Styela clava: one gene and its partner. The protein of the gene in region 1 interacts with the protein of each later gene in a pairwise test. Links are inferred from orthologs where the notes say so. Each region holds a gene or a part of one and is shown on either strand. Other genes may lie near its edges. The genes, in order: aldehyde dehydrogenase family 16 member A1-like and deoxyribose-phosphate aldolase-like.

Region 1 (17,285 bases):
TGGTGCAAGGGTGCAAATGTATGTTGGTGTAAGGGTGCAAATGTACGTTGGTGCAAGGGTGCAAATGTACGTTGGTGCAAGGGTGCAAATGTACGTTGGTGCAAATGTACGTTGGTGCAAGGGTGCAAATGTACGCGGGTGCAAATGTACGTTGGTGCAAGGGTGAAAATGTACGTTGGTGCAAGGGTGCAAATGTACGTTGGTGCAAGGGTGCAAATGTACGTTGGTGCAAGGGTGCAAATGTACGCGGGTGCAAGGGTGCAAATGTACGCGGGTGCAAATGTACGTTGGTGCAAGGGTGCAAATGTACGTTGGTGCAAGGGTGCAAATGTACGTAGGTGCAAATGTACGCGGGTGCAAACACCCGTTGGTGCAAATGTGCAAGGGTGCAAATATCCGTGGGTGCAAATGTCCGTGAGTGCAAATGTACATGGGTGCAAATGTCCGTGGGTGCAATCTATATGCGGGGGCTGAAATCTATGGATGCAAATGTCGGTAAGTGCAAAAGTAAACAGGTGCAATGTCTTTGGTGAAGTTTCGTCGAGTTATTGGGAAACGCGCTATTCGGGAGTATTTAATTCAAGGCATTTGTTAGATTTATTTGTTAATTATATATACACATATGTGTTTATTTATATTAAACTAATGTCAATAAAAATACGTTTACATAGTATTGTATCAACTTTTAATTTATTTCTATAGTGATGGAGCAGGACGCACTGGCGTATTTTGCGCAATATACAATTTGTGTGAAAGATTCAAAGTAGAAAAACGAATCAATGTTTTCCAAACTGTGAAAGACTTGCGAGATTGCCGACCCGGAATGATTCTAACAGAGGTACACTGTACAAATATTTATTGATGTTTCACCTGTAACTCAAACGTACAATATTCAATAAAATCACTGCGGTGCGTTTGGAAAAAAATATTGATGATAAAATTTATGTTACAAATTTGAAAAGCAAGGAGAGTGCTAATCTCGTTTTCCATGTAACTGTAGAATATACCTAATTATATACCTTATTATATTTGTAATATTCGTAGATTAAATGCAATTCCCGACGTGAAAAGTCGAGGCAGAATGGTTTTATCGTACCTAGTGTGTGTCCATTTAGTTCAAGACTAAAAAAATAAAATACGGCAACTGTCGAACTCAAAAATGTCACGGCATGTAAATATTAATTTTCCTTCCAAATCGGCGCTCATTAACATAAATACAATATAAAAATACCGAAAATAGGCACTCCATAAATGAACCAACATACTTAGAAATATCAAAATATGTATTACACTTGAGTATTTACATTTTTTTCCTAGGATGATTATAAACTCTGCTACGATATTATGCTGGAATATATTGATTCATTCAATCTTTATGAATATATAACCTATCGTGCACAAGAAGTATCTGATTCGGCTGGCAGTGAAAGCTTGTATGAAAATATAAGTGCAATAAGAAAAGCAAAATGAAAAAGAAACATTAAATTCTAATTTGTAATGCTTCCATTGTGCAAGTAGAACAGATAACGAATTATATTGTGGAACATTGGGAAGACTTTTCTGATCTATGCATATTCAAGACATGAATGCTCTTAATAAACTTTTTATTCTTAATCTTTATGCCTACTATTGTATTTTCTCTATGTATATTTATCGTTAATATTTTCAAGTTATGTCAAGCTAAAAATGTTATTTGAGATGCACTTATAAAATATTATAAACGAATGCTGACAAGTTATAAAATTCCTTAAATTAATTTTAAATCTGCTGCATATAATCTATAATAATCTATATAAATCCAAACTCGTCTTTTATACGAAAGTTCGCAAATAGCAAGTCAATAGGTAAATGATTGGGCTTCTGCGTGAATAACTACTTATCCTTTCTCCTATGCGTCGGGATACTGTATGCATATAATGAAAGTATGCTGTAGCAAGAGTGAGGATAACTATTCTAAGCGATTCAAGAGTCTTGCTGCACACGTATACAGAAATGTATCTATGTTGCAGCAAGACTCTTGAATCGCTTAGAGACGAAGAGTCTATTAGTAATCTTCTCAAAATTGCCTAGCTCAATTCTTCAATAATGATAATTCTTTCAATCATGCTTTGCTCGTTTTTTTATTTTTGCAAACTGTTTTTAAATCTTATCTCCACTGCTATATTAACTTTTTTTAATTTGTATTTTCATTATCTATCTTCATGCAATCAAAAATATATTGATTTTTTGTTGATATATGTTTTCAAGATTAATAGAGCATTTATCGCTATATATAGTATATGAATATAACTTGTCTCTAGTTTTAGTTATAGAAATTAATGATTACGTATGTCTTTAAATCATGAAAAATTTCCGTACCCGTTTGATGATAACTGTTTCCAAAAACTCAATTATCCATGTTCATAGATTATCTCTATCCAGAGAGCACTTTTATATTAAAATGCGGTGCCGGTGCAGAGTGTCATCTACGAATCATTATGATCTATAAAAATTACGTATAGACTATCTTGTGATTTACAACTTTTATATTAAAATGCGGTGCCGATGCGGTGTAGGGTGTCATCTACGAATCATTATGATCTAGAAAAAATTACATATAGACTATCTTATGATTTACAATTAAAATTTTATCATATATTTCCAATTATAATTAGAGGAGTGAATTGAACATTTATAACCCTAACCACATTTGCTGCATAGATAGACCAATATTTCCTAGTTTATCTAGCCAGGCGATACATTCATCTGCCGATTGTGTTGAGCTCGACAGTTGCAGCTCACACTAAGCCTTAGCAACAAGCGTGTCGTCGAACCTTTAATTACCCCGCATCGCTTCGCTTTTTTGAATTCCTCAAACGATAAATATATGCAAGAGTATTGCAGAAGTATCGCCTGACCATTGAGCGGCTGTGGCATCTTCCAACAGCTAAGTATTTGCAACGAATAATTGAGTGGACAAGTTTCTCTACACTATATTATTATGACAGATTATCAGCATTCTTTTTCCGAAGCATAATTTTGAGATAAAGGTTCAAGTTAATGTCCGAAGTATCAAAATTTTCGGGACCCGGTTAATAAAATTTCGAAGGTTGGAGTCAGAAAATTAGGTTAACAAAATTTATCTTTGAAGTAAAAGTCGATTCTTAAAATCCTTCGAAGTTGTGTTAAAAAAGTTTTTTGCCTTTAATTCTATGACAAATAGTATAAACATAAAATTTGCTTTTGTCCTATGTATTGTTGAATAATGTGAATTGTTAAAGAATATTGAGTTCGTTTGACATTTACGTTTCATGTGGTCATCAATGGTCATCCACGAATGGGGCATAGTCCGCATTTCTATGAAATTTACCGCGTTATTATAACGACGTTATTACCTTTATTCAACGCATCAATATTCATAAACTGTCGTTTGCATGTCATAAAATTGGCCTTTTTAACTAAATTTTGATTTAGAAGCGCTATTTAGGACGCTTTTAAAATATTCATTGACTTTTCTAAATATTTCAATCATCTTTTACTGCCGCCATTTTTTGTTAAATTCATTTATATTATTTAAATTTCATCATCCTTTCTAGATTTTTGTTCAGTTTGTTTTATTTTTATCTCTCTCTCATAAGTATCCTTATGCAATCGGAAATATCTTGGTTTTTCATTATGTATATATTCCAAATTAATATATTAATTATACTTTGTCTCCAGTTCTATCTTATGAAAATTATCGCGTTTATGTAAAAACTGCTTTTAAAATTGCGTAGAAATCTGATCTGGTGCGTTTTAGAAAGTTCAGCGATCACAAATGTCTAGAAATTATGCATTGTTGGTATCAGCAGCATCAAGTTAAATTTTGCACTTATCTTTTATTCAAATACGAGGAATTGAATTCATTTCAGAACTATTTAGGTATTATTTTACATACGGCTGTTATTTTTCGCTCCGAGCTAGCACCCATGGATATATAACAATATATAAGGAAACTGCAATTATTTTGAAATCACGGGAAAATTTCGGTAATATTTATTACACCCTGTTGTGATGGCGGAATCGTGTCCGGATTCGATTCTTCGCACAATCGACTCCGATGCATTGAAATCGATTCTCGAGGTTAACACTTGGATTGCAAACAATGTGTAACGTTTTGCGGCAATTCCTTCAGATATACGGTATGTATAAACTGCTTTACTGCTATGTTGAGTTGCTACGCTCTACGATGCCGCAAACTTTACTATATATATATATACTCGTATATATATATACTTCGCTATAGAAGATATTTACGTTTCCTCATTTCTAAAATCTCTGTGGGTTCTGATGGATTCTATTTTTATGCGATTTTGTCTCCTGGGACAGATTGGATACCCATACTACTTAGTTTTGGCATTCTTGTCCGTTCATATATTGGAACTTAGCTCTCTTGTTTGATTTCATATGGTATTGCTTAGGTGGGCATGTTTTCTCGGAAAGATATATCAAGGAATCGGGATTCAGAATCGAGAATCGGAATTGAAAATTTAGGAATCGGATAAGAATCAAATACTTGTAAGTAGTGATACTTAGCATCCTTAATGACAGCCATTGTATTCGATCTTTTGGGCAATTTAAATTTTTTAGTGCGATGGGCTCGTGTTAAGACCACTTACGATAGCCTTTTCTATTTTAGAATTGCTAGCAAGCACGAGCTATTGTTATCTACGCGTCATTGTGATCTATAAAAGTTATATTTAGACTATCATGCGATCCACAATCCAAATCACAGCCAGAGGAACGACTTTTTTTTGGTTTATGAACATTTAGAATAATCGAAGGCATGTCCCGCTGAGGGCGCCTTTATCGCGATGAAATTAGTCCATTACTCATTGTGTCGTTTGCTTAACCATAGCCAGAATTCGAATATTGAATCACTATAAATATCCAAGGAGACATTCGAAATAATATATAATTATTATATTATTATATATAAAATCAACATTCTAAATTATAATCAAAAATATTATATATACAATATATATATATATATATATATTGGTATATTTACAAAATAAAGAGTTATGGTATATCTGAGGTTTTGTATTTTTTTTAGTCTTCGTCTATGTCGTTGTTAATCAGTGAAATGGTGCTGCTGTCCTGGCGACGTCTTTTGGTAATTGATGAATACATTTTGCGAAACCAAAATAGAATTGCCGTAATACACACAATTGATGGTAAAAAGACAAAAAGCACGATCAACACAACAAAACACGCGAGAATCATTAGTAGACGAGCAAATGTGCATCCAATGAAGGAGGTTGCAATGAAGAGATGAAAACCCGAAGAGTAGTGCGAACAAAGATTTCCAGGAAGAGGGATTTCGGTTGCCACATACCAAATTATTGCAATTAAACCAAGGAGCGCTAAAAAACAACTCTAGGTTCATTACTGCGGTTTGAATGTCAAATAAAAGGATTCGTTTAGTGGCCAATATATACATCAAGAGTTATAGTTAGTTATTATAGCCTCAATCAACAGTTCAAATACCTTTACAAAATGGTCAATCAGGTTGAGTATTAATTAATTAAAATTTCTAGTTTCATGTAAGAATGAACATTGAAGCGTTTTTTTCTAGTATTGTTTAAAAGGAGATTATAAAAATATAACGAAATAGAATCTCACCATTGACGTCTTCAAAACATCTCTGATAGAATATAGATTCTTGTGGTGCGTTTGGTATGTTGTCAATGTCATAACGCGTACAATAAAAATAGAAAGACAGAGCAAATCGACAAAAAATCGCAACGACTAGTACGAATATTGTGAATATTTCTGCACCATTGAAGTCTGCAAAATATAAAAAAATTCAAACAACGAATGGTATGTTAGGCGTCAAGTGTGTTTAATTAATATAAGCGCGTTGAATCATGAATTGAAATAAAAATCTTAAGTTCAAGAGTTTTACTACGTGACGTGCACATTTGGGTAAAACAGAATTTTGATAGCGATACTTCTTCTTCATGCCTTCTCATTTCGTTATTTTTATCTCAAATATATTATGATTTGTATATCGCTGTCTTGGCTAGGTGATCATAATATTTATTTAAAGCGATACTTTCACCAGCATTTTCGAATACCTCATTATTTCAGAATTGAATCGAATACTTTTTTCGAATCGAATCTCGAATACTTGGGGGTCAATGGAAATATGTAATTATATGATTATATTACTTTTTTATATTTTAATCGGTGCTGTCAACGCACGAAGTACTGAAAACCTAGAATACATCACTCAGATCGATTGCTGAATGTTCAGACACAATAACAAGAGAGCTACGCACAAATATATGGACACGTCAGACCAGAGCGAATCAGTCCTTACCGGTACCTTTGCCGCTACCGGTACCCTCAAAAAAGTTCTGAATTTCCAGTAGCAAGAATTTTGCAGAATCAAAACGTACAGCCAGTCATGACACTGACTAAAATCCGTGTTCCCATGGATAAAAAATAATACAGCAAAATTTTAGACGAAATATCAAATTTCATAGAATTCACGCAAAATTTTGAAATAAATAAAAGTAATAGCCTTCTAGCGAAAAAATTAATCTTTAACCACTGAAAATTTCAAAGCAATTGGTCCAGTATTCGAAGAGAAAAGCGACTTTTTAAAAACGTGTCAAAGAACAAGAACAACAACAACAACATAATATTGAAACGATCGTTATGTCCACTACGTGTCCAAAAACACGTTTTTATCAATTAATCACTACAGGAAATGTCAGCCAAATGTCAGAATTGCGTCGACAAAAACAAAGCTTCGATAGAAAGAAATTGGGAAATTCACCTCGACCATTGGCGGAAAGAAAAAACAAGACGGCGGTGATTCGAAATTTTGCTTTGAACCGATTCGAATAATTTAAAATCCGATTTGAAATGCCCAGCCTTTACTAGCACTCACTTTTTCTCCAGAGGAATTGGCACTGCGGAGGTTTCGTTGAGTTATATTCGGCACATCCAATATCAGTAGGAGTAAGGGGTCCCAAGTCCGTGAGACGACATTCGTGTAATAAACCCTTTCTCGCTATATCGTTTTCGCCAGCTACCTAAGTGTTGCATAGCAAACAGTAAATCGAAACTAAAACATTTGTCAGGTTCCACAAAACAAAGTATTTTTGATTTGAGTGACGCTCGGTTTTGTTACAGCAAGTCTTTGCGCATCTTTGTTCGGGTTCGTTAGGCGCTGTTTGTTGTTGTTCTTTACAGCTGCATTTTTGAAGTTTGCCTGCTGCCGTTACAATTAACCACTTTATTGTTTTCCAGTCATTGAAAATTGGAGCGTTTGACGAAAGGATTGCTATAATAACAGGTAGAGCACGAGCAAGAGTGTAGTAAAATGGGATTCCGAAATAAGCACATAACTTCCCCAATCCACTAGGAGGCACATTCAAACAGAAATAAACAACGACAGCAATGAGATCACAAGTATCTAAACACAAAGTTGCATTTCAAATTTCGTATCAAGATAAATTATTCACTCGCAAACATCAATTGTTTATGAAAGGTTGCTGCGCTACCAACTATTGAAAAAAAACGTGTTTCTTCTACGTCTTTGTATGAAATACTTAAACGAAGATTTTTTTAAATGGAATATTTAGTTACATTATTCGCAAGTATATGCCTACGTGCAGTCTTTGAGATGATCGGCTATGTAGATTTCGCTAAACACTAATGTTAGGACTATAAGGTATCTCACCAGCCAATCGATTGACATTATTGTGAAATTGTTCCAAATCTTTGTGTTCATCAGATTGTTTTTCAGTTTCATTAACACATATATTAATCAGTATTGAAAGAAAATAGGCAACTCTTGCGACTATCGACACAGCGATGAAACATATTGTAACTACTTCATCAATCTCTTTGTCTGCCATGAAAAATTGAAATAGAATAAATAGAATACTTTATTTGATTATATATACAACGATTGTTTTTTGAATCTAAATGGGTTAGTTTATATTTGTCAAGTTACGCGAGGATTAAACAAGAACTCAGTGGTCATTCCACATTTTTTGCAACGCTCAGAATGTCTTCATGTTTATTCCATGGAAGATATATATACAATAAACACTCGATGTGATATTTATAAGTTAGTAGCAAATTCACGTAAAAAATATATATACCACCAACCCAGTTTTTTGCAGCGTTCTTCAGTGCTGTTTGTAAAACAAAGAGAGCAACTTCCTTGGGCAAAGCAATTATTATAAGAACTTTTGATTTTGCACTCTTCAAATAATCCCTGTCTTGCCGATCCACTTTCTGTCACCAACCAACTGTCGCAAACAATAGAAAACACTGCAAGGGCCAGCATACCCATTCTGAGAAGAAGTTTTATGCCTTTCCAATATCTATTTGTAGTTTCAAGAATATTTTCTGTGTATTCTTCCCAGCACCACCACATCACACATGTCGATTTGTCACCATAAAACATTGTCTTCTAACTTCTGTTCAGTACAACAAAGTATTAGTGTTACTTGACGAAATTATGTGTGTATTAAGAATAAACATTCTTAGCCATCATTAAACTTGGCTTTTTATCAATTGTTTTGACACAAGTCTATTCTAACTCCAAGAACAGAATGATGATTAAATACAAATAATTAATAAACCAAACATTTAACTCAGGTTAGCATACCTAAATCTTCTCATATTTTAAATTATAAGCATATTGCCAAATAATTCAAAACACGGCTACATTTCAATTTTGAGCTTATATCCGTCAGATTGATATTAAAACAGCGGAAACACTTTACACTATAAAAAGAGCAAACAAATTTCGACCTTGCCAAAATAGCTATAAGAAAAGATTGCAGAACTGAAGAAACGAATTATAAACACGAATGCCGTAACTTGACGGATATCAAACAAAAGGAATCAAAGTTTAATTTCTCATACAACCGAGGGTGGTTCACTGAGTAAACTAACGATAAAACCACTCTTTTATATCATATGTGTACTCTTTTTATAGCTCATAACTCGGAGAAGCTGCAACAACTCGATGATGTTTGGTTTGTAGATCTAAAACGTGTTTAATTCATACTGTCCATGATAATAATAAAAAAGCTATTACCCGCCAGCTCTGAACTTATAACAACGCAAAAAACTAACCCTGACTGACTGCTCGATTTTAGCTTATAAATACCAAATTGCCAAGCCATATGTAGGCTATTTCTTTTTTTTAATTCCGTGGCTCATAAATATTACCTTTTTATAATTTAAAATCCAGGTTGGCTGTGGGTTTTTATATTTAGATTTCTCAATTTAACTGCCTAATTACAGGTATATATATATATGGTGTTGGTAGGAATCATTTTCCAAATTTTAGGTACAGTAAAATGTTATGTGATGTTTTGCTGAAAATTTTTTTATGACCAATAAATATTCAAATTGATAGAGGTATATATATGCTTCCCTTTATTTCCAACTGATCAATGACTCGATCTCACGTGCATATGAAACGATGACCATGATATCATTCCAGAACCGAGCATCTGGATTGCTAAACTGGTTGATTATTCTCATATGAGCTATACTGAAAACGGACGAGATGCCATGGTTTTCCGTTTTATTGAGCCGTATTTCGTGGATAAATGTGAAAATCCCATTTAATCACTATGTCCGACCTGAACTTGAGAGTCTTCACATATGACAAAGCCGTATTATCGACTTTCGACTCTTCTTATTTTTTCTAATTTACGCCAATCAGCCGGGATTCGAAGTTTTTGTGCAATCCGAAAAGAAAACCATCCTTTTCGGTGCACTTCCATTTTCTTAGCGTCATCTAGCGATTGTAATATTATCATTTGCAGCGGAGCAAATAACCAGTTTGCAAAACGTGAAGTTTCTCTGCAAAATGGCTGCGTCTGTGAAAGCGGGAAATTCAGTAAAAGAATTATTCGATAGCATGGAATATGGACCTGCACCAGAGGCTGATAATGTTGCTAAGGTGATTTTTCAAGCAACTATTTTTAAAATGAATGTATACTAACTGCAATATCTGAATATCCTGCAGTAGGCTAGGCATAGGTCACGAGTCTGCTAGTGCTGTAGTGTACTCTGAGACTAAAGCACTATTCATTGGGCAGTACAGCAGTAGGAATTTTGCCTCAGTTGGTAAACACGGGCAATTCAAAGCATAGTTAAGTTACCTTGTGCTGAGTATAAATTATGAACTTCAGGTATCATCATAAATACTGACAGACTGAATTACAGAAATAGTCAGTCAGTCAGTCGTTTATTTTTCACCAAAATGAAACATACTCAGAAATACGGTAACTCGAAACACAAATGTCAGAATGTGGCTGTGTGGTGTGAAAATGAATGCTCTTACAGTCTTAGTATTCAAATAACTAAATAATGCCAAACATAATTGTGTCAGAGACTGAGAGACAACTAGACTGCCGGGAGGACTGCTGAGTTGCCCGTCTTTCTGTCTTTTTACATTCTTTTACGACAATGTTTTAAACGATACTGCAATATGGGTCTTTTACCTATTTATAGCAGCCAACAAGTTGTCCAGTCATCAGCAAGATAATTATGTGCAATAGGATTGCTGAACTGTCGCCACATTAGGGGAGTTCACGCCTTAATTCACACCAAATCCTGAAATCAGCACTTCAAGTTCAGAAGTTATAGTAGTTTTATTCAACTCTTTTTTTTGTTATTGACAATTTCTTTTTTACTTGTAACAGGCCTGGTTGAAACAGCGTGATAACGATCTTGGGCATTTTATTAACGGTGAATGGTATAAACCAGAGGCAAGAAAAGTATATGATACATGCTGTCCAGCTACCGGAGAGAAACTTGCGTCAACTATCCAGGTGTTTACTTTGGCCCAAGTTTACTAAACGCTATTCCTTTTTAAATAACATATGGTATGTTGAGTACCAGGTGATCCGAACGGAGCGTGTGTTTATGCGAAAAACCACTGCCAAGGGCGCTGATTAGAATCGGGAAACACTAAAAGCACAACCATAATTCATCTTACCTGTTTATAATTAATGAACTAACAATGATTGACACAGAATACAGCAGGGGGTTGGGAAAATGGCTCTTTGCTTTGATAGTGTTTTCTTAACCTGTTCGAGATTCCTAACCGAGCCCAATTTTGTATACCCATTTTTATTCATGTCATACGACCCCCAAAATTTACCCAATATACAATAATTATATACCATTGGAAAGGTATTTTAGAGTACTATACGCTAGATGTCACTGGAGGACCGTAAACTAAAACACCTGTTTCAAGAGGTCTCTCATAACGTCAAAAAATAACAAAAATATTTACACTCTCTCATTCTATCAGCTGTTGGATGTCTATAGCTATTGTAAAGCTGAAATGTGACTATACAGTTGACTGCACATTGGTTTTCTCTTTCATATGATACTAAACGCTTTTCGATAGCGCGCGTCGTTCAAGCGTTTTGGAAATTTTCCGTTTGAGAAGTCACCACATCGAATCAGGCCAGGCTAAGCTTGATAGATCGATCGGTTGTTCGTTTGTGCTTTATCGCGTTGAAAGCTTTTGTGAGTCATAATAAAACATTTATTATGATTCATAAAAGCTTATAATCGTGAGACAAGGAGAATTTGCGAGATAAAACGCCTATGTGAACTAACTTTTTTTCGGTGAGGCAGCTGCGATCAAACGACTCGATATTTTTATAACTTCCTGACGTTGTGAGATGTCCACTCTCCTATGTTATGTAGCATATAAAATGACCTTCAAAATAAGACCTTATCATACTAGCTTTTGTTATTGGTTAGCGCGCAACGCCAAGGTTTATGGAATCATTTTCTTGTTGTGCGACGTTTTTATATCGCAGCGGGAAGTACACGCGTGATATGTAAGCGAAATTTTATCACTTCTAAATCTCATATAAGGTTTATTCTTATATTGTTGTGTGGGGAATAAGATTTCCTTTCAAGCAAGACCATAACAAACATTCCAGACCTCATGGTTTACACACAGCATTCGCGCACGTCCCGCATGCGTCAGTTCGTGATGATCAGGTTAATAGCAGTATTTGAATAGTGGTTCATTTTTTGTTCAAATCATTCTCTCCACATGTAATGTGCATACAACCAAAGATTCTAATCATCACTCTATATCATCGTTTGGCACATCACTGAGAACAAACCAGGGTTCGCAGATTTCAATCCTGCATAGTATAAACATATACAAGAGGAATGTTATATTTCTCAAAGTTATTAAATGATGGTTCACTTAATAGCTGTACATTATGGCTTGCTCAACCATCAAGTGAATTTTTTTTCTGAGCCAAGTAACTAGAATAACCAGACAACAGACCATGTTACGCAAGATATCATAAATATGGAAATGAAGTCCTAAAATATTGAGCTCATTTTCACTTTGCCACCTCAACCAATAAAATCAATAAAATGGACATACAAATAGAGCCTCCAGAATGCAGAACCGCTAAATGCAATACTGAATATTCAAATATAGGGAATAGATGTGAAATCTGAATCATAGCTTTGCAAGTAAAAATTGATAGACCTCCTATATCATATGTTGGGGAAGAGGAAATGCTTCCAGAAGGCTTATAGTCATGACTCATGAGACTGACCATAACCTCTTTTTTAGGGGCTCCCGAAGTATGCGAACCAAGATGGCGGACATCGGAATGTAATATGTGTACTGGGTTAGGGTTAGGCCATAATTTTAGGTACAAATACTACGGGAGGCTCTTGGCTAGTCTTCGAACTGATAATAGGACTAAAATAAGGAAAATTGGAAAAAAATTTTCGCCTAACCCTAATCTGTTGCCCATGTTACGTTCCGATGGCCGCCATCTTGGTTTGCATACTTCGGGAGCACCCTTTTTTTTTTTATCTCTATGCTTGTACTTGATTCCTAACACATTTTTACATACTTTTTTGTTGTTTGTACTCACTCGTTGTAGTTTTGCACACGAACATGAAATCATTTTTTGATATGTATTATTATTAATGTAATGTTTGTTTATATCAGGGTGCTCAAGAAGATGTGGACTATGCAGTTGGCTGTGCAAGAGAAGCTTTCAAATCATGGAGTCAGCTAGAACCTCACGTCAGAGCAAGGTATTTTTTTATCATCTAGGATTAATTTGGCCATATTATCCATAGTATAATAATATATTCAATCATAATTTTTGTTGCACATAGTTAGACTCTGAGCGTCTGAGGTAAGCTTAAATAAATAAAACCCTCACTATGTGTGTTCTCGCCAATCATAATTTATATTTAGCTTATATTATATTTTTTTTATATTGATTAAGATTAATTATCGCTGAGTGAGATACCCATACTATTGTACATACCGTGAGTGGGTATATCCAGATACTTAAAAATGAGACAAATCATTTTTTATTTTAAAAGTATGAGGGCACATGCCCAAGGGGGTGTCGAATTTGACTGCTGTGTACAAACAATATGCCCACCACCTACTCCAATGTGCAATAAATCTCTTCTAAAAGCCAGAAATGTTATATACATATATGGTAAAAAGGTTAACAATTTTAAAAATGCTGCAAAATATTTGAAGGGAGATATACATTTTGTAACAGTAATGAGGTGTAAATAGAATAGGTACAATTCTTTATAGATTTTTACAATGGGACTTCCAATATAGGGAGAATAAGAGTGATATTTTTTTCAATCTAGATATAATTTCTGTCTAAACTATTTCTAGGCACTTGTATGCAATTGCAAGAAATGTACAAAAACACCATCGTTTGATAGCGGTGATGGAATCGTTAGATAATGGCAAATCAATCAGAGAAACAAGAGATTGCGACATTCCACTTGTTGCAAGACATTTCTATCATCATGCTGGATGGGCTCAACTGATGGACACTGAAATGAGGGGGTGGAAGTCTGTGGGTAAGTTAATAGTAAAGATGATCAAAAAATTAACCAAATAAGGAAGTTTTCAATGAAGTGATTATTAAAAGTACACACTGTTATTGGTAACATAATCGAGCATTGAAAGACCTCACCTTTGATGGAAAAAAGTGTAATGACATACTTTGGGCTGGGAGTGGTAATATTAGGAGTGTGTGTTATGGCGAAGTACTTGTGATTTGAGGGATTATGGTATGAAATTCATATCAATTTAGAAATTTGAACAGCATTAGACATTTTTGCATGATTAAGTTACTAATTGCGAAATTATTACACTTGAATTGTAATCCATGGAATCATACAAGAATATTCGAACTTGGAATATAGAAATGAAGTGTCCATTTTTGTTCACTTTCAAACCTGCTATTCTTTCATTTTATTCTTTTGCAGGTGTTATAGGAGCGATTGTTCCTTGGAACTTTCCACTGATGTTGCTCACATGGAAGGTAAATTGGACTTATAATTTACATCCAATTATAATATTGGTTTTTTAAAATCATTTTTTAATATTGTTGTTTAATTAGTTGCATATTCGCCAAAGATAATTCAAATTGAATAATTGTTTCCTGCTTTGGAGATTTGCCCACTTCTAGGGGAGAAATATCCCTATAAGCCCATCATTAAACTTGCACAAATTTGTTAACAAACTGCTATTTACCGTACTAAGCAGAAAAATAATTTACGGTATATTTTCCGCAAATGTTTAATTTATTTGGAGAATTCTATTGAAGTAGATTTCAAAGAATAATTTTAAAATTTGAAGTCATTCACAGAATATATAATAATTTTGTTAAAGGCTTAGCTTATATCTTCAAATTTATGTTGTATCTTGTATATTACCCTATATATCAGAAATGTATATACTATCAAGGTAACAACGTTTAACTGATGCAAAGTCAACATTGTGCTCTTGTAAAGGAGTATTTATTATATGAATGTTTTCTTTACATGGTGTTCATGTTTGCATAATCATTCCAATAGCGTTCTTGTACGACCTTGCAAACTAAATAAACTGATTTATGTTGAAACGTCCATATTGGGCATTTTATTCTAGTTGGTATTGAATAGTTGACTTTTTGAATAGTTTTTAGGTTTTTTCTAAATGTGATATTATTGTGAAATACCGCATTCACATGTAAATATCAAGTAGAGTCTATTAGTAACATGATTATGGTTTGAGCTCAGATTCATTCAAAATCTGGCTCCATTTTGATTATAAAATTCGTAACCGTTATTTTACAAAATGTGTTTAATTTTGATTTATGAAATGAAGCTTGCTTGGTCATGTGCCTAAAATAAAAAATTTGCGTATTCAGTGTGATTTAAGTGTTTCGGCAAAGTTTTAATAGAGTTATTGAATGCAATATAAGCAATGTTGAGTTTTGACTGGCATTCAGATTTTGCATTTTTAACCATGGACATAAATGAAATGCTTATTTTATCTTGTTTTCCCAGGTTTGCCCAGCACTTGCAATGGGAAACACTGTTGTACTGAAGCCAGCTACTTTCACAAGATTGTCTGCTTTATTATTGGCAGAGATTTGCCATGAAGCTGGACTACCTCCTGGTAAGAATGATCTAACAGATATCGCTTTGCTGTGTATTTGGTCAAAATAGGCAAATAAGTGTTAGGGACATGCTTTCAGTGGCATTGCTGGTTATTCCATGTAGACTTGCAGGTTCAAAACCCTTGGTGTATATTTTTGTGTGTGGGATGGCTGTTTGACACCTCGCTGTGTCATAAGGACGTACTTCCCCATATTCGAGTCGATGCATCTTGATTTAATTTCCGAACTATAATTTTCAAAATTAACCAATCCACATCTAACTTGAATTGAAATGCCAGAAGAAATGGATCAGAATTTGATTAAGCTGAATATTTGGTTTTTCTTTCCATCTGGTTTATTATATCCCAAATGTCTAAACATGTAATAATTGATAATTCTGCATCCAGAAGCTAGGTCAGAATCGATAATATTTTCAACATTTCAAGACTAAACGGCAGTTGAGTTGAAATGTATGTTAATTTGGATCCCAAAGATGGATTAGGATATTTTAATAAAAACATAGAATTGGATAAAATTCTTCTTACTAACAACTCTTCAGCCCTAATACTAACAATGGGTTTCGAACTTACAAACTTTTCTTATATATTTCAAAGAATTCAAATAAAATGGCAATACTTTGAGTTCTAGATCTATGTGCTTAAAGGCCGGGATACACGACAGTGTGCGAACTCACCGCAGCGTATTTTTTTGGTTTGTTTTATGTTATTCGTCTGCGGTGGACTGCGTTTCGTTGCGCTGCGTTTATCTGAGTTGGCGAACGCTTGAGTAGCGTTTTCTGACCGCAGTTCACCGTACTGACAGTCTTGTTCTGCTCGTTCTGGTGGTTTTCTGAGACAACTGGTTGTATTTCATGTGACAAGCGAAAGTTTTGTGCTAATTTATCGTTTTCCAGTTGCTTTTATAACGATAGAAGTTTAGTCCCACTAGGGCTACCGGTTACCGTGCGGTATGTAATATCACTAGTACCGGTATGATAACGGTACATTGGTACGGTAACGGTATGATATGCGGGATACTTTGTGTTGTCAAGTGTGTTCTTATCGTTGACGGTTATTCCAAATCGTTCAGCTTACACCTATTCGATTTTTTTACCAGATTTTAACTGAACATTGAATATTAAATTATGGACCCATAGGGTACGGTATCGGTACGCACGGAAGACAGGTCTGACGTCACGATTAGCGCATACCGCACAGTGCGAAGAGTCGCGGTGCGGTGAGTTATAATGCTGTCGTGTATACCGGCCTTAAGAGTATTTCCATCAATCCAGGTGTCTTTAATGTTGTAACTGGTAATGGTGCATTTGGATCAATGTTGGCAACTCATGATGATGTTGATAAAGTTGCTTTCACTGGATCAACAGGGGTGAGCAGATATAGAGAATTTTCCCTTTTGCATTCTCTATAAAAATATGGCTACACTCGAAGAATGTGAACCAAGATGGCAGGTTAGGGTTAGGCGATAATTTCAGGTACAAATACTACTACGGGAGTCACTTGGCTAGTCCCCGAACTCGTAATGAAACTAAAATGATGGAAGGTGGGATAAAATTATGGTCCTAGACTCCTAACCTGCTACACATACTACGTTTCAGTGTCGGCCATCTTGGTTCTCATACTTTGGGATTACCCAAATATGAATAGAAAGTATACTTCTCATTTCAAAATCAAAGAAAGGACATGAAAAATTATCATATTGAAAAATTTTGAACGTGAATATAACTTCTCATTAACGACGCCTTTCAGTATCATATTAATGGGTACCCCATCAAATTTTATTCGTTTTCACACC
Region 2 (17,292 bases), on another chromosome or scaffold:
TAATTTGAAAAATGTGAAATTTTACGTTATTTCGCCTATACAAATTTCGACGGAATAGGGCATTTTCAGTAACGGAATGCACATAATTGCAAAATTTTGTTCCCAACAACTCAACTTGTGAGATAAAGAGTGTATATCTTATTATATTTTTCAATAATAAAATCTCGCCCCTCTTAATCGGAAAGACATGCTGTTGTAATTTGAAAAATGTGAAATTTTACGTTATTTCGCCTATGCAAATTTCGACGGAATAGGGCATTTTCAGTAACGGAATGCACATGATTACAAAATTTTGTTCCCAACAACTCAACTTGTGGGATGAAGAGTATATATACTAAAATAATTATCAATAATAAAATCTCGCCCCTCTTAATCGGAAAGACTTGCTGTTGTAATTTGAAAAATGTGAAATTTTACGTTATTTCGCCTATGCAAATTTCGACGGTATAGGGCATTTTCAGTAACGGAATGCACATGATTACAAAATTTTGTTCCCAACAACTCAACTTGTGGGATGAAGAGTATATATACTAAAATAATTATCAATAATAAAATCTCGCCCCTCTTAATCGGAAAGACATGCTGTTGTAATTTGAAAAATGTGAAATTTTACGTTATTTCGCCTATGCAAATTTCGACGGAATAGGGCATTTTCAGTAACGGAATGCACATGATTACAAAATTTTGTTCCCAACAACTCAACTTGTGGGATGAAGAGTATATATACTAAAATAATTATCAATAATAAAATCACGCCCCTCTTAATCGGAAAGACATGCTGTTGTAATTTGAAAAATATGAAATTTTACGTTATTTCGCCTATGCAAATTTCGACGGAATAGGGCATTTTCAGTAACGGAATGCACATGATTGCAAAATTTTGTTCCCAACAACTCAACTTGTGGGATGAAGTGTATATATACTAAAATAATTATCAATAATAAAATCTCGCCCCTCTTAATCGGAAAGACATGCTGTTGTAATTTGAAAAATGTGAAATTTTACGTTATTTCGCCTATACAAATTTCGACGGAATAGGGCATTTTCAGTAACGGAATGCACATAATTGCAAAATTTTGTTCCCAACAACTCAACTTGTGAGATAAAGAGTGTATATCTTATTATATTTTTCAATAATAAAATCTCGCCCCTCTTAATCGGAAAGACATGCTGTTGTAATTTGAAAAATGTGAAATTTTACGTTATTTCGCCTATGCAAATTTCGACGGAATAGGGCATTTTCAGTAACGGAATGCACATGATTACAAAATTTTGTTCCCAACAACTCAACTTGTGGGATGAAGAGTATATATACTAAAATAATTATCAATAATAAAATCTCGCCCCTCTTAATCGGAAAGACTTGCTGTTGTAATTTGAAAAATGTGAAATTTTACGTTATTTCGCCTATGCAAATTTCGACGGTATAGGGCATTTTCAGTAACGGAATGCACATGATTACAAAATTTTGTTCCCAACAACTCAACTTGTGGGATGAAGAGTATATATACTAAAATAATTATCAATAATAAAATCTCGCCCCTCTTAATCGGAAAGACATGCTGTTGTAATTTGAAAAATGTGAAATTTTACGTTATTTCGCCTATGCAAATTTCGACGGAATAGGGCATTTTCAGTAACGGAATGCACATGATTACAAAATTTTGTTCCCAACAACTCAACTTGTGGGATGAAGAGTATATATACTAAAATAATTATCAATAATAAAATCTCGCCCCTCTTAATCGGAAAGACATGCTGTTGTAATTTGAAAAATGTGAAATTTTACGATATTTCGCCTATACAAATTTCGACGGAATAGGGCATTTTCAGTAACGGAATGCACATAATTGCAAAATTTTGTTCCCAACAACTCAACTTGTGAGATAAAGAGTGTATATCTTATTATATTTTTCAATAATAAAATCTCGCCCCTCTTAATCGGAAAGACATGCTGTTGTAATTTGAAAAATGTGAAATTTTACGTTATTTCGCCTATGCAAATTTCGACGGAATAGGGCATTTTCAGTAACGGAATGCACATGATTACAAGATTTTGTTCTCAACAACTCAACTTGTGGGATGAAGAGTGTATATCTTAATATATTTTTCAATAATAAAATCTCGCCCCTCTTAATCGGAAAGACTTGCTGTTGTACTTTGAAAAATGTGAAATTTTACGTTATTTCGCCTATGCAAATTTCGACGGAATAGGGCATTTTCAGTAACGGAATGCACATAATTGCAAAATTTTGTTCCCAACAACTCAACTTGTGAGATAAAGAGTTTATACCTTATTATATTTTTCAATAATAAAATCTCGCCCCTCTTAATCGGAAAGACTTGCTGTTGTACTTTGAAAAATGTGAAATTTTACGTTATTTCGCCTATGCAAATTTCGACGGAATAGGGCATTTTCAGTAACGGAATGCACATGATTACAAGATTTTGTTCTCAACAACTCAACTTGTGGGATGAAGAGTGTATATCTTAATATATTTTTCAATAATAAAATCTCGCCCCTCTTAATCGGAAAGACTTGCTGTTGTACTTTGAAAAATGTGAAATTTTACGTTATTTCGCCTATGCAAATTTCGACGGAATAGGGCATTTTCAGTAACGGAATGCACATAATTGCAAAATTTTGTTCCCAACAACTCAACTTGTGAGATAAAGAGTTTATACCTTATTATATTTTTCAATAATAAAATCTCGCCCCTCTTAATCGGAAAGACATGCTGTTGTAATTTGAAAAATGTGAAATTTTACGTTATTTCGCCTGTGCAAATTTCGACGGAATAGGGCATTTTCAGTAACGGAATGCACATGATTACAAAATTTTGTTCCCAACAACTCAACTTGTGGGATGAAGAGTATATATACTAAAATAATTATCAATAATAAAATCTCGCCCCTCTTAATCGGAAAGACTTGCTGTTGTAATTTTAAAAATGTGAAATTTTACGTTATTTCGCCTATGCAAATTTCGACGAAATAGGGCATTTTCAGTAACGGAATACACATGATTTCAAAATTTTGTTCCCAACAACTCAACTTGTGGGATGAAGAGTGTATATCTTATTATATTTTTCAATAATAAAATCTCGCCCCTCTTAATCGGAAAGACTTGCTGTTGTAATTTGAAAAATGTGAAATTTTACGTTATTTCGCCTATGCAAATTTCGACGGAATAGGGCATTTTCAGTAACGGAATGCACATGATTACAAGATTTTGTTCCCAACAACTCAACTTGTGAGATAAAGAGTGTATACCTTATTATATTTTTCAATAATAAAATCTCGCCCCTCTTAATCGGAAAGACTTGCTGTTGTACTTTGAAAAATGTGAAATCTTACGTTATTTCGCCTATGCAAATTTCGACGGAATAGGGCATTTTCAGTAACGGAATGCACATGATTACAAGATTTTGTTCCCAACAACTCAACTTGTGAGATAAAGAGTGTATACCTTATTATATTTTTCAATAATAAAATCTCGCCCCTCTTAATCGGAAAGACTTGCTGTTGTAATTTGAAAAATGTGAAATTTTACGTTATTTCGCCCATATGCAAATTTCGACGGTATAGGGCATTTTAAGTAACGGAATGCACATGATTACAAAATTTTGTTCCCAACAACTCAACTTGTGGGATGAAGAGTATATATACTAAAATAATTATCAATAATAAAATCTCGCCCCTCTTAATCGGAAAGACTTGCTGTTGTAATTTGAAAAATGTGAAATTTTACGTTATTTCGCCTATGCAAATTTCGACGGTATAGGGCATTTTCAGTAACGGAATGCACATGATTACAAAATTTTGTTCCCAACAACTCAACTTGTGGGATGAAGAGTATATATACTAAAATAATTATCAATAATAAAATCTCGCCCCTCTTAATCGGAAAGACATGCTGTTGTAATTTGAAAAATGTGAAATTTTACGTTATTTCGCCTATGCAAATTTCGACGGAATAGGGCATTTTCAGTAACGGAATGCACATGATTACAAAATTTTGTTCCCAACAACTCAACTTGTGGGATGAAGAGTATATATACTAAAATAATTATCAATAATAAAATCTCGCCCCTCTTAATCGGAAAGACATGCTGTTGTAATTTGAAAAATGTGAAATTTTACGTTATTTCGCCTATACAAATTTCGACGGAATAGGGCATTTTCAGTAACGGAATGCACATAATTGCAAAATTTTGTTCCCAACAACTCAACTTGTGAGATAAAGAGTGTATATCTTATTATATTTTTCAATAATAAAATCTCGCCCCTCTTAATCGGAAAGACATGCTGTTGTAATTTGAAAAATGTGAAATTTTACGTTATTTCGCCTATGCAAATTTCGACGGAATAGGGCATTTTCAGTAACGGAATGCACATGATTACAAGATTTTGTTCTCAACAACTCAACTTGTGGGATGAAGAGTGTATATCTTAATATATTTTTCAATAATAAAATCTCGCCCCTCTTAATCGGAAAGACTTGCTGTTGTACTTTGAAAAATGTGAAATTTTACGTTATTTCGCCTATGCAAATTTCGACGGAATAGGGCATTTTCAGTAACGGAATGCACATAATTGCAAAATTTTGTTCCCAACAACTCAACTTGTGAGATAAAGAGTTTATACCTTATTATATTTTTCAATAATAAAATCTCGCCCCTCTTAATCGGAAAGACATGCTGTTGTAATTTGAAAAATGTGAAATTTTACGTTATTTCGCCTGTGCAAATTTCGACGGAATAGGGCATTTTCAGTAACGGAATGCACATGATTACAAAATTTTGTTCCCAACAACTCAACTTGTGGGATGAAGAGTATATATACTAAAATAATTATCAATAATAAAATCTCGCCCCTCTTAATCGGAAAGACTTGCTGTTGTAATTTTAAAAATGTGAAATTTTACGTTATTTCGCCTATGCAAATTTCGACGAAATAGGGCATTTTCAGTAACGGAATACACATGATTTCAAAATTTTGTTCCCAACAACTCAACTTGTGGGATGAAGAGTGTATATCTTATTATATTTTTCAATAATAAAATCTCGCCCCTCTTAATCGGAAAGACTTGCTGTTGTAATTTGAAAAATGTGAAATTTTACGTTATTTCGCCTATGCAAATTTCGACGGAATAGGGCATTTTCAGTAACGGAATGCACATGATTACAAGATTTTGTTCCCAACAACTCAACTTGTGAGATAAAGAGTGTATACCTTATTATATTTTTCAATAATAAAATCTCGCCCCTCTTAATCGGAAAGACTTGCTGTTGTACTTTGAAAAATGTGAAATCTTACGTTATTTCGCCTATGCAAATTTCGACGGAATAGGGCATTTTCAGTAACGGAATGCACATGATTACAAGATTTTGTTCCCAACAACTCAACTTGTGAGATAAAGAGTGTATACCTTATTATATTTTTCAATAATAAAATCTCGCCCCTCTTAATCGGAAAGACTTGCTGTTGTAATTTGAAAAATGTGAAATTTTACGTTATTTCGCCCATATGCAAATTTCGACGGTATAGGGCATTTTAAGTAACGGAATGCACATGATTACAAAATTTTGTTCCCAACAACTCAACTTGTGGGATGAAGAGTATATATACTAAAATAATTATCAATAATAAAATCTCGCCCCTCTTAATCGGAAAGACTTGCTGTTGTAATTTTAAAAACGTGAAATTTTACGTTATTTCGCCTATGCAAATTTCGACGAAATAGGGCATTTTCAGTAACGGAATACACATGATTTCAAAATTTTGTTCCCAACAACTCAACTTGTGGGATGAAGAGTGTATATCTTATTATATTTTTCAATAATAAAATCTCGTTCTCTTAATCGGAAAGACATGCTGTTGTAATTTGAAAAATGTGAAATTTTACGTTATTTCGCCTATGCAAATTTCGACGGAATAGGGCATTTTCAGTAACGGAATGCACATGATTACAAGATTTTGTTTCCAAAACTCAACTTGTGGGATGAAGAGTGTATATCTTATTATATTTTTCAATAATAAAATCTCGCCCCTCTTTATCGGAAAGACTTGCTGTTGTAATTTGAAAAATGTGAAAATTTACGTTGTTTTGCCTATGAAGATTTCGACGAATTGAGGAATTATGAGTACCGGAATGTACATAATTGCAAAATTTTGTTTCCAACAACTCAACTTGTGGTATGAAGAGTCTATATACTAAAATAATTATCAAAATTAATATCTCTCTCCTTTTAATCGGATAGATATCCTACTGCAGCCTGAAAGTTGTGAAATTTTACGTTTTTTTCGCCTGTGTCGATTTCGGTGAAATAGGGCATTTTCAGGAACAGAATACACATAGAAGCGAAATGTTTGTTTTTTTCAAATTACCCAAATGCGTGCCCCCCGCCCTCTCCTGTTTTGGAAGGTAAAAATGCATCTTTCTGTAGCTGCATAGCAATTTTTCGTAGCTTGAAACTGTTTTTAAACATCCAAGACTCTTGAAAACACTCCTGTTCCGGCTTTCGGTCGGATCAGCTAGCTCAGGGGTTCTCACACCTTTTTTCTGACAAGTACCTCCCAAGTCACGAAACAATCAACGCGAACCCCCGGTAATCAGACACCGAAGAAAGTTGTGATACACTGACTAGCAATTTGTTGCAACACCAATTTAATGACCATATGTAACTAAATCAAATCGTCTTGTTGATATTGTTGCCCTTGTCGCATGCTTAACTAATGAATTATTAAAATATCTCCCAGATTACAATAAGCATAATCACTTCTCCATTGCTCGCAGCACGCTGTCTTTAGAGATTTCACAGTTTGTACACAAAGCCTTGAATTTTCACATTGTTGCGTCAAAATCACGACAACGCAAGCTCAGGGAAAATCTACGTTTCAATTGGCGTTTAGTTTCAATGGGCACGCATTTTCCCATGATAGTAATAAAGGATATTAAAAAACAGCATCATACAAAAACTCGACTATCATCCAAGTATCCCTTGAGTCGCGAACCCCTACTAGCTATTTCCATCTAACAAATGAAATTTCAGGCCCCTTGAAAAATTTCGGTTACGCCCCTGCACACGTTATTGAAAACACAGAGAATAACAAATGTCATTTGGTTGATTTTTTCGCACGAATTTAAGATACGAGGATGTCTTATTATTACCTCATAAAATGCAAAATTTCAGACCTAGCAATATGTGTACATTAATAGTATTTAGTTGGCTTAAAATAGCGAAAGTCCCTACTACACTCAGACGATTAATTCATATTCTTAATTTACTGTGAAATACACTTAAATTTACTTATTATAGTGTTGAATTACTTATTTATTTATAAACCAAAGTCATTTATCCGTGTGGAAATGAAGACTCGCCCGCATTACGCACCACCGATCTCCGACAAGTACAAAAGAGAGATTTAACGCATTACTGCGTAAAATTAGAAGAAGGCGTGCTACTAGCTTCACAGTGGTCTTTACAGTTGCACAAGCCGATGGTAGTCGTCGCATTGACCATAGTTAACTTAATATAGTTGGCTCACGCTTTTTTCGACTTTTTTTTTTTTTTTTTTTTTAAATGGATCCACAATGTGGATTATTCAATATGTAAATAATAAATAAATGAAATATAAATAAAGATATATTGTGTACCGTAAGTTAGACATATCTCTCGTTACGCTTGAGTGATGCGTCATGGTATTCTCTCAACGCAGCTATCTGGCTTTTTTAATTTATCGTCGACTGAAATACCGCCCGACATTCGACCAGGCGTGTGCCGCGCTTGGGCGATAGGAACGGATTTATCAGCGGCACGAAATTCAAGGTATATGTATTTTATTGGGAGCGCAAAATAAATGTAACAAAACGCACTGTTTTGCGTTATAACTTCGTATTTCGAAAACCGGGTGTAGTGGAAAGCAAAATTTGACCTAAATTAATCGCAAATGATGTTTTATCATCTAACGTCGGGTACTCATCATTTTCCGGAAGAACTAGAAAGTCATTTAATTTAACATCAAGAATGTTTCACTATTTCAATAAATTGAGATTGTTGCAATCGGAAAAACGCCTGAAAGAGGGCAGGCAGTCGGCACCAATAATAAAATGGCGCGATAACGCCGTCTTCGCGTTCTGAATATACAAGCTGAGATAACGATATTTGATGTCTGCCGCAAACGCGTTTGCAGGCACTTTGCGAGAAAACACAAGTGTAATCGCGAGAGAATAAATTCGAAATACAAAAATTGACATACGGAGCCGAAGAGGCGGAGTTCTGGGGATTCAAATCGTCCCTCCCTACCTGGGAAAACTGGATTTCTACTTTTGTGTTATAATCCTGGTATAAATATTCAATTACTATCCAATAAATGCAATCACAGAACACAGAATTACTCTGCTCCTACTCCACTTTGATAACCTATTGTACCGACGCAAAGATGACTGGCCGATGCCACGACCCCCTACTTTATCCTAATGCCTCAGTATATCTTTTCATTTATTTCAACCAACAAAACCATTCCAAATACACAAATAAATTCAAACATTCAAACAGGCTCGGCGGTGTGGCTCAACGGGCTAAGCGTTAGGAATTCTCCCGCCACCGCACCTCTAATTACTCTGTGGGTTCGCAGGTTCGAATCCCATGTAGGGATGGTTATGTGCGAGAGGATTGCTGCGAAATTTGAAAAATCGGCCCTTCCGAAACATGCCCTTTCTACTGATCACAGCATTGATTGGGATAACAGCAGGATATTGGAACATGAAATTCACTACAGAAAAAGACTATTTCTCGAATCTTATCATATCAACGAAGAGAAAAATTCAATGAACGATAAAGAAACTACATTGTTCCCGCATGTATATAAATCATTGTTTAGATAGTCGCGTAATTGTTTGAACTTGCGCTTATTCACTAGGATCTATTATCATATTGTCCCCTTTTTTCAGTTTTTCACGCCGTTTAATTTTTACTATCTTTTTTTATTTTTCTACTCTATATATGTACGACAGTGTACTCTTTATATCATGCCCTGATGAAGTTTTCTGAATAGAAATTCGAAACGTCGGCAAATTATATCGTTTTGCTATACACCGGTTGTGCGTTATTTATCTTTGACATGAATATACCTACTGGCAATCATGCGCTATTTGTTAACTTTATATTCATAACTATTATACATGTGTCCATCAGCCCTTTTACGAAGTATATTGTTGATGCTGGATATTTTTTGCTCTTTATAACCAACAAGAGGCCTATGCTCAAATATATGGACACAAAATCAATAACGAAATGTTTTACCATCATTTCCCCGAGAAAAATCATACGGTTTTCGTGTACCACGTGTCTCATGGGAAATACAAATGTGTGCTGTCCCATCCCAGCAAGCCTGCTATACTCTAGTCTATATATGTATATTTATTGACTTCAGTAAACATTTGTAATTTGGTAATATCTCACATTCATAATGCGGTTCGATATCAGTATATAGGTTCCGTTCTCATACGCGCAATTGCGACCAACAATATTTTAAGAAGTATTTTTATCATTCTTGGTACTACTATAAATATCTCGTTAGCAACACCCGTTTCATGTAATTTAATTTTTAGCGCAAATCAATTATGTTTCATTGTACAAAATTGAAACCTGTCATATAAAACATATTACATATTTTATTGATTTTGAATTTCGTGAATATATTATTTATCAAGTATTTATAGTTAGATCTACTACATGGTTTGCCTTCTTTTTTATTTTGCAGTGGAGCATTGTTGCATATGTACAATGTTTTTCTACTTTAATCTCAAATTCGAAAATACGGAGCGATATGATTCTTTAACGGCTTTTTGTGAAAACATTCTTGACGTGTTTATTTCCAAGAATTCAATACATACAATTAGGAATTTTATCAATGAATTGCAATGGAACATTGGATTTTTTTACTCAATTGACTGGCTGACAGCGATTATAGGAAGCTTTTAAATTTTGTTATACTCTTGTCAGAAGTAATAAGTGCAAGATTGTGTATTCAGATTTTTTTTACAATTTTGACGAAAATGAAAAGTCTAACTATAAGCTTGTTATCAGTCATACAGGTGGGTTGTTTTCATTTACAATATAATTTTATCAGGATAGTGTATTGTTTATTACAAACAGTGTATTGTTTATTACTTTTTTTCAATAACACAGCTTAAAGTAACTTTCCACACTCACACCTCACTTTTCTCTCTTGATCTTACAGACAAAGTCGACTATGTATATTATGTTACTACATCCGATTGGTGACGATCCTGTGACAATGACAGCACAGAGAGAGACGTTGTAGAGAGAAATCTTTGTTTCTTCTGAAATATTTGATGATTCAGTTGTGCCTTTGTCAACAACACCTCGTTTATCATTATGTTTTTGCCAGATTCAATTTCATTCTGTATGCAAATTCTGATTTTGACAACAGGTGTTGTAGACTCAACGCATAACCGATTTTTTTTAAGTTCAGTTGATTATTTATCAAAGTTCATTGTATATAATGAAAATGGGTGCCTTTAATAATAGTATTATTCAAATTTCAATTTTGTTTTAGATTTTACTGATTTATACTTTACACAACTGAGCCTATAAGCAATTCAAATAGGAATTTATGTTTGTTTAGGGTCATGTGTTGAACGTGCATTTACCACGTGAAACTGCAGTTTGTTATTTCATATTTATTTATTCATTCATTTATTTTTTACCCTTTTTTATCATTTTACTTGTGTCACGTGTTAGTAGCCAGCCATAGATACAGTGGGAATAACCTTTGTGCAGATATAGCAGCATTAGATTTAAGGTGAAGACCAAAAGCTATGTTTTGTACGGTAACATCGCAAGAGACTAGGACGACAAGGCGCCAATATTATAGTAAACTCTCTCAATATGGCAATTATTAAGTTAAATGCTCAATGTAAATAAGTAACCTGAATACTTCAACCTGCACTTTATCTGATGACTTTGAGAAATCTAATTCAATGTAATAACTCCAATGTATTAGCGTATGGTAAGCATTCTGGAAACTTTTAGGACGCAAATTTTTTCTTTCGTCTCTTGGTGAATTAGAATAACGACTCCCACACAAAACAATTTGAGAGCCAACTTAGGAATAAAGCGATGAGTTTTAAAGTATTCCGAAAGCGAAAATAACATGTTATAAATACTTATATGGAGAAAATGTCAGGTGGAGAGAAAGAACTCTTTCAATATATATCCGTGTAAATACCATTATTACATTCGTCATGAATTGTAATAAATGTACATGATTAAGCTGACGGGATGCCGGCACAGAATTTAAAATAAAGCGCAAATGTGCGTCATGTAGAATCTACAGATTCTCACATATATATTTCAAGTAGCTATGTGAATTGCTACGAAAAAATATTTTTGTAGTGCCCATAGCGAACAGTTCAATACGTGCTTGTACAGTGCCTCTTTTATATATATATCAGACTTGTGAATAAACTGACTACGACGACACATTGAATTTTTAAATAGCGCCCATTTTCTTAGTTCATAATTTATATATATATATAAATATATGTAAATAATTATCACCTACAAATTTTCTTGGATTGATTGAATTGGTTGCCAGCGCATTTACAGCCAAATTTAGTGCCTATACATATAATTATAGATTGTATCAACATATATATATATATATATATATATATATATATATCGACAGAGTAAAGTATTTTTTTTCACTGCTCATTTCCATCGTATATATATGAACTATAGCGAGAGTGTTAGCAGATACATTAACGATTGTCTAAATTCATTGATTTATCAATATTCATAAACGAGTTCCCGGAAGATCCGAAAGCTTGCTTCTAATTAATTACCGACCCTCCATTAGCGTTGCTCCGAACGTCTTCATATGGTATGACGCAAGAATGTCCTCCTAACAAATTCATTCCAATTTCTTTTTCAACCAAACAGCATACGTATAAGAAACATAGATCGAAAGTTAAAATTATTAACCATTTTTTCGAAAGCCAATCATTTTTGAAGAATAGAAAATGAAGAGAAAACTAACTCACGGTTATGTTCAAGTCCCATAATTTTTGAAGTGGTTCATCAATGCTATCCTGATGTCTAGCATCTGTCATAACAACGACAATGCCCGGAGCCCGAGCCTATTACCGTTAGATTCTGAGAGTATTTTAGTTTGTACATAATTCAAAGCTTTCCCAATCCGCGTACCTGTCATATTTCTTTGCAATGAATAACTAGCTTCACAAACATTAATTGCTATTTTGCGCTAATATACTTTTGCATACATGGGCGTATACCAAATTGAATAGATTTATAAAAACCATAATGCATAAATTGTGGCCCCGCTATTTATAACATTTATAAAGGCGATGTCGATGCTTAAGTGTACTTATGAAAGTTTTCCTGGATCACGTAACAGCTAGTCGGTTATTGCTTCCTTCATCATCTAGATTCTAGAACTATATGCTACAATGAAATCGACCTAGAGTATGATCGAGAGGGATTCAAAAAAGCTTCATTCAAAGAGTTCATCATATATATATGACTGAGCTGTCTTATCATCTTTTCGATTCCCAGGATAAACACAGAAACCCTACCCTATTCCTACCCTTCTCAATCTTCCACGACAAAGGAAGACATTGGGAAAGATTTGTAATACCTTTTGTTCAGTTGCTTCATCCTTAACTTTAGGTCAGCAGCACTGCTCAATAAATGAAGACGATCTTCTCTAGTATAGTCTGCTAGTGAAAGCAAACTTCTTCCTTTCATCGAGATGTCCTGCTGTCGACATATCTGAGCATGATTTGTAGATGCAACACTGTGGGCATGAAAAGGTAAACAATAAACTAACTCTGTTTTTTATTTGTATAAAAAAGTAGTTTGGGTTGATTTAAATATGTATTTCCTACCTTTTTGATGATGTACCGGTAGATTGTTTTCGAATATGAGCAACACATCAGAGTGTATTACATCGAGGCAGTTTTCGATGAATCCACATTCTATGTAGTATGTTTTTACCAAGTTTCTCATATATATGAATATTATTTCTGTACTTTATCCAATTGCGTAAGGAATGAGAAAGTTATATTTGTATATATATATATATATAAATACTAATATAGACAGTATTTCTACATTTTATAAGCCGATAATAAAGGACGTAACCATTCAACGGTAGGTGCATCGTGTGCCCTCACTTTTCTCACACCTTTCTCTTCAAACTAGTCGTTTACTTCTTCCGATAACACTCACATATTTTGCTATCTCATATCCGGGCCTACGTTGCCAAAGCTACAAGATTGTTTAGCGTATTTTAAGTATGGTGAAGAAATAATGAACTACTGGGCAGTTCACCGCATTGACGTAAATTACTTAAAATGTAGGTATCAATTACAAATGAATTAAAAGTTAGTCATTCGTGGTAAATGCCTAAAATTGTAGCTTTCAACAGAAATGACAATTCATATTCAAACAATGTTTACTCATTCTAATATTGAGATTCTCAAAGGATAGGCTTATATAAATTTCGTTACAAATTTAAATGACAATTTCTGCCATATCTTTCCGGTTTCGGCAATAATGGATAACTATACCATACTCCAAGTTTGAAGCAAAATCGATAGCAAACCTGAGAGAAAACAGGTGCGACAACCAAACTAATTGCGACTTCCTGGCATACTGCTTTTAGGAAGCAATGTTTTTAAAAACACGTGCGGAGGCACTTTCTCAGTTATGAAGAGTTTTGAATCTTACACCAAATGTAGGTATAGAGAAAGACTTTGGCACGTTTTAGTGAGTTTTTTTTTTGTGATTTTCGCATGTTTTAGCTTGATAAATGAGTCAAATGACAAATATTGATAGAGTTGGTGCCCAATCGTCGTCGCCCAATTTCGTGGGACTACGTTATTTAGCCTATTTGCGGGAATGAGGAACATCATTGGATATGGTCGACACCGCGAGCTGGCTATTTAATCATAGTCCATCATTAAAAACGTTCACGCTTCCCCTAAATGCTTTGCTTGTAAGCCACTGCCCACCTGTTGAATATATTTGTAAAAATATAGTCTGCAAAACGCTCTGCCCGGAAACAGAGCTCAATGACCTGTAAACATTGAAATCACTCGAGTGTGACTAGATTGACGGGTACTCGCATCCGAGACCCAAAAACCCGATTTTGCAAAAAATAAACCTCCTCCTTTGGCCTGATCATTTTTGTGGGTTTTGTAGACATCGTGACAGACCTTCTTGCCAAGTTTGGCACGGATTAGTTCCCTGTAAAATGTTCGTTTGTTCCCGAAACCCCGAATATACTTTCGTATCAAGTTTCGTCGTGCGTAACGACATCTGACTCCGACTGCGCTTTCGAACTGAAGTGCTCTCGGTTGCCTAATCACAAATGAGTTTCTCGTGTAACAGACGATATTAGACCATGCACATGAAAATATGAGACTACTCATTTAATTATTTTTATACTCGTAATAGATGACACACATGGAAAAATAATAAATTGACAGTATACATACTGAAAAGTATTGTTCAGGAATTGTTCAGAACTAAAATCTCATCGTCTACAAAATTATATTTTGCGAAGTAATTGCAATTTCAAAAATAGAATAGACTATTTTATTGAGGTCAAAGTGTAACCTGAAAAGAGATCTAATAGCGATATTTTGAAAGTTGTTCATAGTGGAGTTTTGAATACCACATGACAAAATTTCCATAATTTCATAAATTGGATTATCGTTTTTCGTATCGTTTTTTTCGGCCATCACTTTTGATCTATTTGATGAGAACCAATGATGTCAATACCAATCACTTGGTATTTCAGAGAAGCATTAAATTCGCAAATAAATGGGGTTAGAAAACTAATTATCGCATATCGAAGTTACTATAGGGTTTCATCGATTATCTCAATTTTGTGCGTTCGATGTCGTTTTTTGTTGTATTCAAATGTATTTGTCTATAATAAGTGCATTACACGTGCTTTACATCACTTTTAGGCAAAAGAACTAGAAAATATCGATTCATGATGTTGAGGGTCTTGAAATCGCCATAATTATTAAGTTGTTTTGCGATAATTTATTGTATTAACAATTGAAAGTATTTATATGAGCAAGTTAAAACTACACGTTGTATTTTGGTACCTCCCACCATTAAATCGAACCATCACCTGAATAATTACCCGTTCTTTGAAATAAAATATATTCTTTCAAATATAGTTACCATTTCCAGAAAACTTTTACCATTACCAGAAACTTTTCCTAATAAATGCAATATTTCGTGTTCTGATGACCGTAAGTTGCATAATTATATATTTAAAACGGGAGAACAGAGGGAACGGGGGTGGAAAACGAAATAACTCGGCATCGTCAGGAGCAATTCAGACTTTCCGTACATAGACGTGTCCTAATTCCTGCGTTGCCACAAGTCTCAGCAACAAATTGTACCCCATTTGTTTAATTAGGAATGCTGTCGCTAAAAGAATAACATGAGCTTTTAAATATGCCAGAGTTCCAGTTCGTTAGAAAAATTTCAAGAGCTAAGTAGATCTTTTTAATCTGAATTTCAATTTCAGGCAATATATATATCTGAGTGGGATGCGTCCAAATTAGTCCACACTCCACAGTGTATAGGCCATTAACTGATTTGCTTATTTAATAATCGAAAAATAGTTACGCCAGTTAATGTAATTAATATTATGTGTTTACAACAATGCGGAAAAATCCTAGTAAAAGTACACAGTAATCGAGAATAAATATCACGATGACCGCTATATATCACGCACCACACTTTTTCTAGTATTTCGTTGTCAGCGATTCAAAGTCCAGAAACGTTATGAAGGTATTTCGAACAATTTTTACAAAATAAATAAAAATAACCTATATTCATTTGCCAAAATGGGCATGGTTTCAGAATCCAGTTTCATTTTTAAGATAAGGGAAAATCATTATGTAGATCAAAAATTGGTGCGCGTGTTTCGTGCCGAAATTTTAAAGAATTTAAAAACCAATTGAAAGATGCATTATCAGAAACTTAGAAAAGAGGGGCGATATTACATATTAGAAAATAACCTGAGTATCTTTAAGAGAGAATGTAAGAGTAAATTTATTTCTCATTTACTTTTAGTTTCACACCAATCGCTTATTCACTTCCTCATAAAGCATAAGGTACATGTATAGGTACATAAATTTTGAGTTTGAGAATTAGATACAGATGTTAAAAAAAGACATTCCTTGTCGATCACCAACATATTTTACCAGGCTCGCACCGATTTCGATTGTAGTTTTGTTGGCATACTCAGAATCAACACTCACTTAGAGGCCAGCTTACAATGCTATATCACTTATATTCATGAATGGTAATAGATAAACTTTTATAGTGCACAAGAGGGGTTTGGCTGATAAATAACTTTCCAATCATACCAACGGTTTGTGGATATTTGGCCAATATGTCTTTTTTCCGATATTTGCTGAACAACTTCTTTTTTCAGATCAACCATATGATTTTTCTTGCGATATTTACTAGTTTTATTCTCACCGAATTCTTCATTCTCCAAATACCATCTTTCCTTCCACATGTTTTTGAATGACTCCGAATTATCTTATATACTGTACAATGAAGCACATATTTCTTCAATCATTTATTGAACCGCTTTAACGTCTTTCATTTATTAAACCCTCAAAATGGAAGCAAAGCGCTTTGTTTTTTGTCTGTTTCCTTGTTAACATCGTAATTCACCACATCTGCGATTAGGAAAACCACGCTAACGTTATTTGATCTAAAATGCATCTTCAGCAAAAAAATGATTTTGTTGATTTGGTTTGGGAAAATATAATAATGTACCGGTATGAATGTTTGGCGCTCCAGAAATATGTGAACCAAGATGGCGGACACCGGTACGTAGTATGTGTACCAGGTTAGGATTAGGCCATAATTGTATTCTTTTTTTCCTTAGTTCTATTACAAGGTCGGGGAATAGCCAAGTGAGTCCCGTAGTATTTGTTCCTGAAATTATATATGACGTAATAGGTCCAGTCTGCAAGTTTGCACAATTAGGGTGAAATTTACCATAACAGTACTCCAAGTTTCAGATATGTTTCCAGCGAATTATTGGAATACAATACGATAGCGAAAAAAATTTCCTGTTAATCCTCAAAATCTTGTCAAAAGATAACCGAGTCTAAAAAGAGAAATCATGATATATATTTGTAGCCCCAACTTAGCAAAAACAACTACAAGATAGATAGCTGGGCCTAGAAAC

Evidence for each region.
Region 2: the proteins of aldehyde dehydrogenase family 16 member A1-like (region 1) and deoxyribose-phosphate aldolase-like interact in binary tests that used the Homo sapiens proteins (3 or more experiments, as listed by UniProt). The link is inferred for Styela clava from reciprocal best matches to the Homo sapiens genes ALDH16A1 and DERA.

Annotation. Positions count from the first base shown.
Region 1 is NC_135251.1:10,977,637-10,994,921, reverse strand, and holds the start of aldehyde dehydrogenase family 16 member A1-like, read left to right. Parts: upstream 1-9,806; 5' UTR 9,807-9,874; coding exon 9,875-9,967; intron 9,968-10,712; coding exon 10,713-10,841; intron 10,842-13,015; coding exon 13,016-13,104; intron 13,105-13,714; coding exon 13,715-13,905; intron 13,906-14,316; coding exon 14,317-14,372; intron 14,373-15,381; coding exon 15,382-15,493; intron 15,494-16,764; coding exon 16,765-16,859; intron 16,860-17,285. Other genes in the region: uncharacterized protein LOC120336141, read left to right, coding at 703-838, 1,318-1,470; uncharacterized protein LOC120336119, read right to left, coding at 7,068-7,450, 7,718-7,888, 8,152-8,422.
Region 2 is NC_135258.1:16,504,210-16,521,501, forward strand, and holds the start of deoxyribose-phosphate aldolase-like, read right to left. Parts: upstream 7,783-17,292; 5' UTR 7,661-7,782; intron 7,542-7,660; exon of another isoform or gene 7,484-7,541; intron 1-7,483. UniProt on the Homo sapiens protein: Catalyzes a reversible aldol reaction between acetaldehyde and D-glyceraldehyde 3-phosphate to generate 2-deoxy-D-ribose 5-phosphate. Participates in stress granule (SG) assembly.